Canis lupus familiaris: one gene and its partner. The protein of the gene in region 2 binds, or shares a complex with, the protein of the main gene of each other region. Links are inferred from orthologs where the notes say so. Each region holds a gene or a part of one and is shown on either strand. Other genes may lie near its edges. The genes, in order: RARRES2 and CMKLR1.

Region 1 (4,343 bases), on a different chromosome or scaffold from region 2:
CCACCTCTTCCTCTGCCCACTCTTACCTGGTGAACCTGTGTGTGGATGGGGCAGTGGACCATCCGGCCTAGAACTTTATCTGCAGAGTTCAGCTTGATGCAGGCCAGGCATTTCCGCTTCCTCTGAGGGAGGGGAACGTGGGGCCGGGACAGGAAAGAGGTCAGGGCAGGCATGCAGCCCCCCCTCCAATCAGGGTAGAAGCTGGGGGTGCTGCCTGCAGTGGGGAGCAGCCCCCCTGGCAGGCCCTAGAGCAGAGGGGCAGGGGTCCTGGGGCCAGCTGGCTTCTGGTGCAGCCCACCTGGGGCCTGGGAGATTTCAGACGTCAGAGCACCCTATGGTTTTCAAACTATGGACCGTGTGTGTGTGTGTGTGTGTGTGTGTGTGTGTGTGTGTGTGTGTACGCGCGCGCGCAGATCTCCTTCCCCAGATGGGTTCTCCCCACCTGACTTTCACTGGGGCCATTCTGATGAACTGTTCTCAAAAGGTTTGACGTGAACACAGGGGTCCTGACATAAAAGTGTGGAAAATCACTGATACAATCCAGTCCCTCCCTTAACGGATGGAGGGAACAGGCCTTCAAAGAACCTACTGAGTCACAGGCTGGGGCTCGGAACAGCTGGGACATGGGGACTCCCCTGTAGCAGTGGTTATGCCCCCAGGGGGGCTGAATGCAGTCAAGCGCTGCATGAATCAGCCCAGGCTGGGCTGTCTCTATTTGGAGACTCAGAAAGTGGAGAATTCACGCGGCCTGGGCTGGGGGCCAGCTGAACCCCATGCCCGGGGCTTCTTTCACCAGTGGCCTGACGCCTGAGAGAGGAGCCCCGGGGGGAGGAGGACAGGAGGACAACATCAGATCCCCAGTCTCAGACTGAGCCTCTAGAAGTGGGACCACTGCTCCACCCTCAGGGCTTCTTGCTGGATCTCTCCACCTAAACCAAAATTACCAACCCTCATACTGAGCAAATGCCCCATCTCTCTCTCTTTCTCTTTCTCTCTCTCTCTCTCTCTCTCTCACACACACACACACACACACACACACCCTCGGTCTTCACTCACCCCATTGGGTTTGATTTTGCAGTTGGCTTTTTTCCAGTCCTTCTTCCGGCAGCTCGTCTGCTGGAGTTTAAATTCCAGCCTCACGAAGGTCCCTGCAGGGAAGGGCTGCCCACAGAGAAAGCCAGCAGCTGGCTGAGCATGCAGATCAATTCCTGGATGGGCCGGGTCCCTCCTCCCCCATCCCCCGCTCCTCCCCAAACAGCACATCTGAGAGGGTGGCTGGGGTGTCGGCCTCTCCCTGGAGAACTGGGTGCTTGTCGAGCCCAAGCACGTTTCCACCTGCTTCCTGGGAGCGCACCTGTGGCCTCAACCCCTCCCCTCCCCAGGCCACGCCACTAACCGTGTCCTCGGCTTTGTCCACACTGGTCTCCTTGAAGGCCCACTGAACGGGCGGGTGCTTATGAAATTCTTCCAGGGCCACCTGCAGGCCCCGCTGCTGTGCTGCGGTGAGCTCAGCCCTGCCCAGACCCACCGCGCCCAGCCACAGGGCCAGAGGGATCAGCAGCTGCCACATGGCCTCACTTGGTCGTCGTGGCCCTGCAGAGAGTGCTTAGTCCTCAGCCCTTCATGCCAGCCGCCGAGCTGCCCGCTCCCTGGCCCTGCCGCGGGGCTAGCGCAGGGGGGGCTGCCTGACCCACTCTGGGCCCAGGTTGGAGGGGCGGGAAGTGGCCCTTTTGTCGAGAGAGCCCTGGTATTCCCCTGGTCCCCTGCTCCTCCACCCTGCCCCCCACCAGTCTGGGGCCAGCCCAGCCCTGGTTGGGCCTAGTCCTGGGAAGGTGCTGAGCTGGTTTTTGTCCTCAGGCCAGCAGCGTGGGAAGCCCCCCCGCCCCCGCCCCCCCCCCCCCCCCCGTCTACTCCCACCCTCCCCCTTTCCCCTTCCCACTTTCCTGGCCCATTCCTTCTCCCCCGCTGCGGGGTCTCTGGTCCCCTGTCTGCCCGCTGCCCTCAGAGCTCCTCTCGGCTCCCCCATCTCAGCCTCTGGGGTCTGCTGGCTCGCTCCCAGTCCCCTGGAACCCTGGCCCCCGCACTCCCTCAGTCCCCCAAGGCTAATTCAAGGGGGAGGGGCAGGATATAGAATGGAGGCCAGCTGGAGGCCAAATATTTCTGGGAGGACGTAAACACAGGGGAGGGGCCCAGAGTAGGGTGGGAATCGGGAGGGTGCTTAACCCTCCCTGTGCTGGGGCTGCCCAGGACCACCAGCCTCCGGCCCTACCCCTGGCCCCACACCCTGGGGTCTCACCTCAGCCCCACCAGGGCTTTCTTCAGGGAGACCCCCTCCTCCTTAACTTCTTTTCTGGGTCTTCCCTGCCACTCCTCTCCCAGCCCTTCTGATCTGCCCCCTAATGCATGACTAGGGTTGCCTGAGGCATGGACTTACCGCTCGAACTCTGTGTGTTCCGGTGGCCTGAGAACAAGAAAGCTACAGATGTGGAGACGGAGGTCCTCTCGCTGAAAGATACCAGGTGTTGCCTTACAACCGGTTGACAGATCTCACCCCTGGAGCTGCTCCTTTGGCCCGTCTCCTTCCATCCAGCTGTCCCCCTGGCCCACTCTCCCCCCTCACCTCTTCTATGCCTCAGGGTCTCTGCTGCCCTTCTCCTGGATGACTCGACATCAGGCTGTTAGCCTCTTCCTGCCCCCCCTTCCTCTGGTCGGCCCCCATCTCCTCCCACTCCCACCCCCTAGGCCCCTCCAGCTTCCAGCCCGCCCAAGGCTCCTCCCCACCCCGTTAGGACCGGCCTCCTGGCAGCCTTCCGAGACCTTCCTCCCATCTACCGGCAGGCCTCTCTGCTGAGATCTTGCCACCAGACCTTGACCCCAACTCTGGCCAAACCACCCTCCCCTCCCCCTGGCCCAGGAGCCCAAGCATTTGGTGGTCTTGCCCCAGCCTCTCCTCCATAGGATATGGGGCTACCCTCCCCACTCCCTACCCACTGTCCTGCCTCTGTAGGGCTGCCCTCTTCTTTGGCCCCAACTGGGTGACCAGTTCCCAGCATCCTCAGACACACATTTCAGGAAATTCTTCCCAGAAATACAGCCATCTTCAAACCCAATGAGACCTTGAGGAGTCATTTGACCCCTCCTCCTGCCTCCCAAGCCCTAGAACCACACGGAGAAGGAAGGCATCTCTGTTAGAGATGAGTCTCGTGTTCAGCAACTTCTATAGGCAGCAAACATGTTCAGTCTTGATCCTGCACATCCCATCCTTAGTGGTGATAGATTCAGGGGTCTCGTGTGGGGCTTGGGGAGCCTGCAGGCGCAGCAGAATGGTACGATGGAATTCATAAGGCTAGTGTGGACTGGGAGGAAAATTGTCCAAACATTGCTCAACTCTCATGCATCCTAAGCAAATAGGAACAAGCTCCGCGACTCGGTGGGTCAGGAACCAGTCCTGCCATTTCTCTGGCTCAACCTATGCTAATTGCCCAAAACAGGGTCTTGTTTACCTTCCCAAATCCCTAGAACTTCTGCTTCCTTCTCTGCAAGGTGGGGATCAGAATCTCCATGCTAAGGGCTTGTTGTGAGGTTTAAATGAGGACCTTCGTGGAAAGTGACTGTTGGCACAGGATTTGGGGCAGATTTCCTCCTCTTCCCTATTCACCTCTGCCATGGATCTGCACAGGGAGCTGACAGCTTCCTCTTCAATGTGCTCTGGGGGCACCAGCAAGACCCTTGACTTGAGTTACCTCAGGCGGTTACCATGGTTCCTTCCCTGCCGTCATGTAGAACGCGTCATGTGTCTTGTCCACGGCTATCTCCTCTTCCATCTTCTTTCTCCTTGTGAATTTATACCTTTTTACTCATTTACCATTGTTTTGATGGAGTTTTGGGAGGGAGTAGGGATAAACATGTGTGATCCACCATGTTTAAATCAGAGTCTGTGAGTTATTAAAGAAGAAAATCACTACATATATAAATACATACACACACACACATATATATATCACTACTATAAATATATAATTGTGTTCCCCTAAAATTCATATGTTGAAGTCATAACCCCAAGTACCTCCAGAATGTGACTGTATTTGGAGATTTGGACTTTAAAGAGGTAATTAAGATAAAATGAGGTCAGAAGGTAGGGGAGAGGACCAATCCAATATGACTAGTGTCCTTATGAGAAGAGATTAGGACTTAGAAGGAGGACCATGTGAAGACACAGGGAAAAGACACCCACCTACAAGCCAAGGAGAGGAGCTTCAGAAGAACAAACCCTGCCAGCACCTTGATCTTGGACTTTTGGCCTCAAGAATTGGGAGAATAAGTTTCTATTGTTTAAACAACCC
Region 2 (4,479 bases):
CTGACACAGGACATGTAGACTCACAGAAGTACATAGATACTTGCTTAGAAAGGAAAAAAAAATAAACCTCAGTGTGCAATAAACAACCCAGAAACCTGGACAAAAGGCAAAAAGAAAAGATGTTCATATGAGCTAGCTGCATGGCCCTCAAGTTTTGGGGCACATCAGAATCAACTGGGGAGCTGGTGCAACATGCAGACTCCCACACCTCATCTCGGAGATTCTGATTCAAAAAACTGAAGCTTTAGGAAATACTCATGATTATTCGGCACGAATAATATTATTCATGCTTATTCTGATGTCAGCAATCCCATGACTGCACTTTGAGAAGCCCCAGGTCTACCTTGTAGCCTTGAAGCTGGCAGTAATTACTGGCAGTAATAACCACATTCATGCAGTGTAGCTCAAAGCAAGTGAAATAGGCTTTTAGGTTTTTCTGGACTCTGATGGGAACCCGAGCACTAATAACACACTGTTAAAGAAATTAATAATACTCTCTATTTGGCTCAGATGGGTGTCGAAGGTACAGACAGCAGGTGGTATAGAAATGATAATAGAATCACAGCTCGTGTTTATAGAGCTCCTTATGACGTGACAAGCCCTCTGCTAAGTGCTCCACGTGTGTGATCTCATTTAATCTTTATGACATTCCCATTTTACAGATGAGGATATTGGAACATACAGATAACTTATTTTATGTCATTCGGTGGCAGGGAGCAGACTGGGTTCAAATCTACCCAAACAAACTAACTCTGGCCATGATGTACCAGTGCCTCTTGTGGAGGTCTAATGTTGGAACCCCTCCCTGGGGCTCAGTTTCCAAATCTGTAAAATGGGCATATTAAGAATACCTTTATCACACAACCATAGCGAAGATTCAAGAAAATCATGGCAGTAAAGTGGTCTGCAAACTGAGAGGAGTTAATTAAAGAAACACCTAAGGGGTGAGATTTTGTTCGACTCTCCCATCCCATCTTACAGATAGTAGAACCAAGGCCTGGTTCATTTATTTATTCATTAAATATTTACCAAGCACCTACCTACTGAGGATACAGAGAGAATAGTAAATCCCCCAAATCTGGCCTCAAGGAGCCCCCAGCCTAGCAGAAGAGACAGTCAAGAGAAAGACCTCTCCAAAGGGCTCAAACCAGAGAAGGGAGTGCCTCACCCAAGATAAGGTTTACCTATTCCCTGAAGTTTTGGTAGAGTCCAGAGAAGGTCCCTGGATACCAGAGAGAACTCCTCCTTGGGCTTCCCAGGGCCTGACACCCCACCACCTGAGCATCCCTGGTTTAAGTTAAGCCTTCTTTCTTGAGGAAATGCCAAGCTGCCCTCCTCCCACCACCGGAGGCCAATCACATTCATCTCGGCAACCCAGGCATATGAAAGTGTCTCTCCTCTGAGCGAGTTCGGAGGAAGGAGAAAAGATAGCAAGAACCGCAGGTATGATCAGTCTTCAAAAGGAAGTAAGGGCTGCCAAAAGGGAAGCTGGGGATCAGGCCTCTTAATGGAAAAAAATAAGACAGACCCCCAAACCTGGCCACTTCCTCACTGGCCTATCTGAACCACAAGATGGTCGGAGTGATCAGACTTATATGGAGCAGCAGTTATGATTATGATGATTTGGCAGCCAGCACTGCCAAATCCTTCATATACAAAGAACTCTTAAAAATCAACAAAAGATAAACATGCTGACAGAAAAAAGTGGGAGCCGACTTGACCGGCATAATCATAAAAGCAAAATGAACAGTAAGATTACAAGGGATAATCAGCAGTAATAAAGAAATGTCGAGAGAAACAGCCAGAAGCCTCACAAACCTTAAGAACAGCACTCAGTGTTCCGACTCAGTGATTTAGCCTTTGGTAAGGTATCCATAGGCCAGACGTGCAAAGATGAGGTACAAGAGCGGTCATCATAGCACTGTTTGTAGTCATGGGGAAAAAAGGAAAAAAGTAAGAAGGAAACCACCACAGTGAGGAAGGGTTAAATAAACCCCAGGAGAGCCTTTCTGTGCAGCCGTTAAAATGTGTCCTGGAGGAATATAGATAGAAGTTCCCAGTCTGCGGGGAAGGACGAGGTGAGGGTGCCAACAAGACGTTAGCAACCTGTGCGTGAGTCCACACCTACATACTTCTACACGCCTGCCACATCTAGTAGGCACTCAACAAACATCAGAGAAAATCAGTGAGCGAGCGAGCGTGTGAGCGCTGGAGAGGGCCGCCCGAAAGGCCACCTCGGGGAGGGGACCTCTCTGTACTGAGCTGCAGCCCAAGGGCAAGGGCGGCGGGCTGCGCTGCCGCTGGCTTCATGCCAGTCTTGCCACCTCCCCCGCCGACCCAGTTTGTGGTCTCTGCAGCTCTGGGCCAGTGCCTCCCCCTCTCTGAGCCCGCTTCGCTCACCTGTAAAATGAGGACACCTGTAAGATGGAAGCACCTGCCTCGGAGAAGGAAAACACCGAGCTTTTAACAGTAGGGCGGCCCTGCTGTTTCTTACAATTAGCATGCACGACTTCGGAAACCTGCAAATGATGTTTTCATCTTGACAAACATTAACTGTGAAGCAGAACTCCGGGCCTCCTCTCCCTACTGGTATCCCCCGTTCCTGGCCCCTCCGGGCGATGTCAAAGCCGAGCGTGATACCTTGTGGCTGGTCTCCGCCTAGGTCTTCCCAGGGGTTCCCCTGGACTTCAGGCCACTGGAGGCTGTGCAGGGGGCCCCCCGTTGCCCGACTTCTTTCTCGAGGTCACGGTCACACCGTTCTTTGGCTGCGGCTGTCTGTCCAGAAGGCAATGTGTCCATTCATTCAAGATGCCCTGGAACCCCCCTCTCCCCACCAGATTGCAGCCTCCCCTAGAACCCCCTCAACCCTCACTCAGCGGGGGCTCTGCGGGAGACCTCGTGCTGTCCTGAGCTCCTCCAGCGAGCGCAGCCGCTGTCCTGAATGGGACAGGACTCTGCCAGAGAAACAGCTGGAGGGAGGAGAGAGAGGGAGGGCGGGGCAGGAAACTGGGTTGGCCGAGGCTGGGGGCGGCCAGCTGCGTGGAGTGGGGGCCGCGGGGGAGGCTGCCCCTGCCTGCCAGCCGGGCCGGGCGTGTGGGTGGTGGCTGGTGGCTGGTGGCTGGTGCCTGGTGGCAGGGCCTGCTGAGGACGACCCGCCCCTCTGGCGGCAGAGCCCAGCTGGGAGCCTTGCCCACCATCCGGGCGCAAACCAGGAGCACATGCGAGCCCCAGGCAGCTGTGGGAAGTGGCCGCTCCCTGCCAGGGCCTCCGGAGCAGCCGGATGTCCCAGCACCCTGGGCCACCACCTCTCTCTCCGCCGCCCGCTGGGATGCCCTTCCTGGCCGCCTAGGTGCGGCTCCGTGACCTCCTGCTCCCTTCTTCCTTTCTTTGCAAATTAAAACAGCAATGAGATTTATTTTTCTTGAAGTATCAAATGAACAAAGATTAAAACGTCTCATAACGTTTGGTTTTAGTAAATGTCACCGGGAAGCAAAAATCTTATGCATAATTGGAATATACATTGATAGACCGTTTCTGGAGAGCTGTCTGACAACATACATCAAAACCTTTAACTACATTCAGACCCTGTGTTGTTTAAATATAAATCCTGCTTTCTTCCCAAACTCTGCTCCCCGGAGGGAAATATCATTAACACTTTGGTATGAACACACACACACATTCTATATATAAATGGAAAATAGCACAGTCATACTTCGTGTACCATAGTGTAACCTGCTTTTTCATTCAGTGATAGGTGTGTGTGTGTGTGTGTGTGCGCGCACGCGGACACACCTTACCCTGTTTTAACAGCTGCTCATGATTTCAATGAATCGATGCACTGGTTTGTTTGTTTATTTAATTTTTGTTTCCCAAATGGATACAGACAATTTATCACTTACATAGACAGCAAGCTCTGGATTATTGAATCCGCACTTTCCTGGTGATTGGTTAGTTTCACTTCATCTTTTTAACTGTAAGATACACCCCATAGCACACTTGTCCAATTATTTTCTTATGCAAAATTCCTATGAATATATATTTATTATTCAGAGGGTCTCCTGCTACCTTTTCAAATCTCAGTTTGGGGACCACCTCCCCAGAAGCCTTCCCCACCGCTGGGGGTTCTGCTCTCGGCCCCTGGGGCTCTATCACAGCCACAGGAGTGTCCCCTCCTGTTAGAGCATCTCTCTCCCTTGCACTGGAAACTCTGTTGGGAAGGGAACTGTCCCCCGCTCTGGCCCCAGCACGAAGCCTGGTGCCTGGCTCGCTGTCCGCATGATTGCATCAGCAGCAGAATAAACACAAGAGCTGACACCCAGACAGTGTGCTGGCTCCTTGCTCCTTAATTCTCAGGGTGACCCTGCGAAGTTGGTACCATTTCTGCCCTCATTTTACCAATGACGAAGTTGGGACACAAAAAGGTTAAGTCAGTTGCCCTAAGCCACACAGCCGTTAGGTGGGAGAGCTGTGATTCCACCC

What was found.
Region 1: the proteins of CMKLR1 (region 2) and RARRES2 are in contact, whole or in part, in a cryo-EM structure (PDB 8ZJG), measured with the Homo sapiens proteins. The link is inferred for Canis lupus familiaris from reciprocal best matches to the Homo sapiens genes CMKLR1 and RARRES2. Residues at the interface, in NP_001135815.1 of Homo sapiens: Asp20, Tyr21, Leu22, Asp23, Ser24, Ile25, Val26, Val27, Leu28, Phe88, Leu92, His95, Tyr103, His104, Asn116, Leu119, Ile120, Met123, Arg178, Leu183, His184, Gly185, Lys186, Ser188, Cys189, Phe190, Asn191, Trp203, Thr205, His217; in NP_002880.1 of Homo sapiens: Leu34, Phe37, His38, Phe60, Thr75, Ser76, Cys77, Arg96, Leu111, Gly112, Arg113, Leu114, Val115, His116, Cys117, Pro118, Ile119, Thr133, Leu136, Arg137, Gln139, Arg140, His146, Ser147, Phe148, Tyr149, Phe150, Pro151, Gly152, Gln153.

What each region holds. Positions count from the first base shown.
Region 1 is NC_049237.1:15,398,565-15,402,907, forward strand, and holds the start of RARRES2 (retinoic acid receptor responder protein 2), read right to left. Parts: upstream 3,042-4,343; 5' UTR 2,988-3,041; intron 2,761-2,987; exon of another isoform or gene 2,621-2,760; intron 2,506-2,620; 5' UTR 2,435-2,505; intron 1,594-2,434; 5' UTR 1,571-1,593; coding exon 1,397-1,570; intron 1,162-1,396; coding exon 1,057-1,161; intron 123-1,056; coding exon 27-122; intron 1-26. UniProt on the Homo sapiens protein: Adipocyte-secreted protein (adipokine) that regulates adipogenesis, metabolism and inflammation through activation of the chemokine-like receptor 1 (CMKLR1). Also acts as a ligand for CMKLR2.
Region 2 is NC_049247.1:18,844,143-18,848,621, reverse strand, and holds the start of CMKLR1 (chemokine-like receptor 1), read right to left. Parts: upstream 3,088-4,479; 5' UTR 2,896-3,087; exon of another isoform or gene 2,776-2,895; 5' UTR 2,641-2,775; intron 2,633-2,640; exon of another isoform or gene 2,401-2,632; intron 1-2,400. UniProt on the Homo sapiens protein: Receptor for the chemoattractant adipokine chemerin/RARRES2 and for the omega-3 fatty acid derived molecule resolvin E1.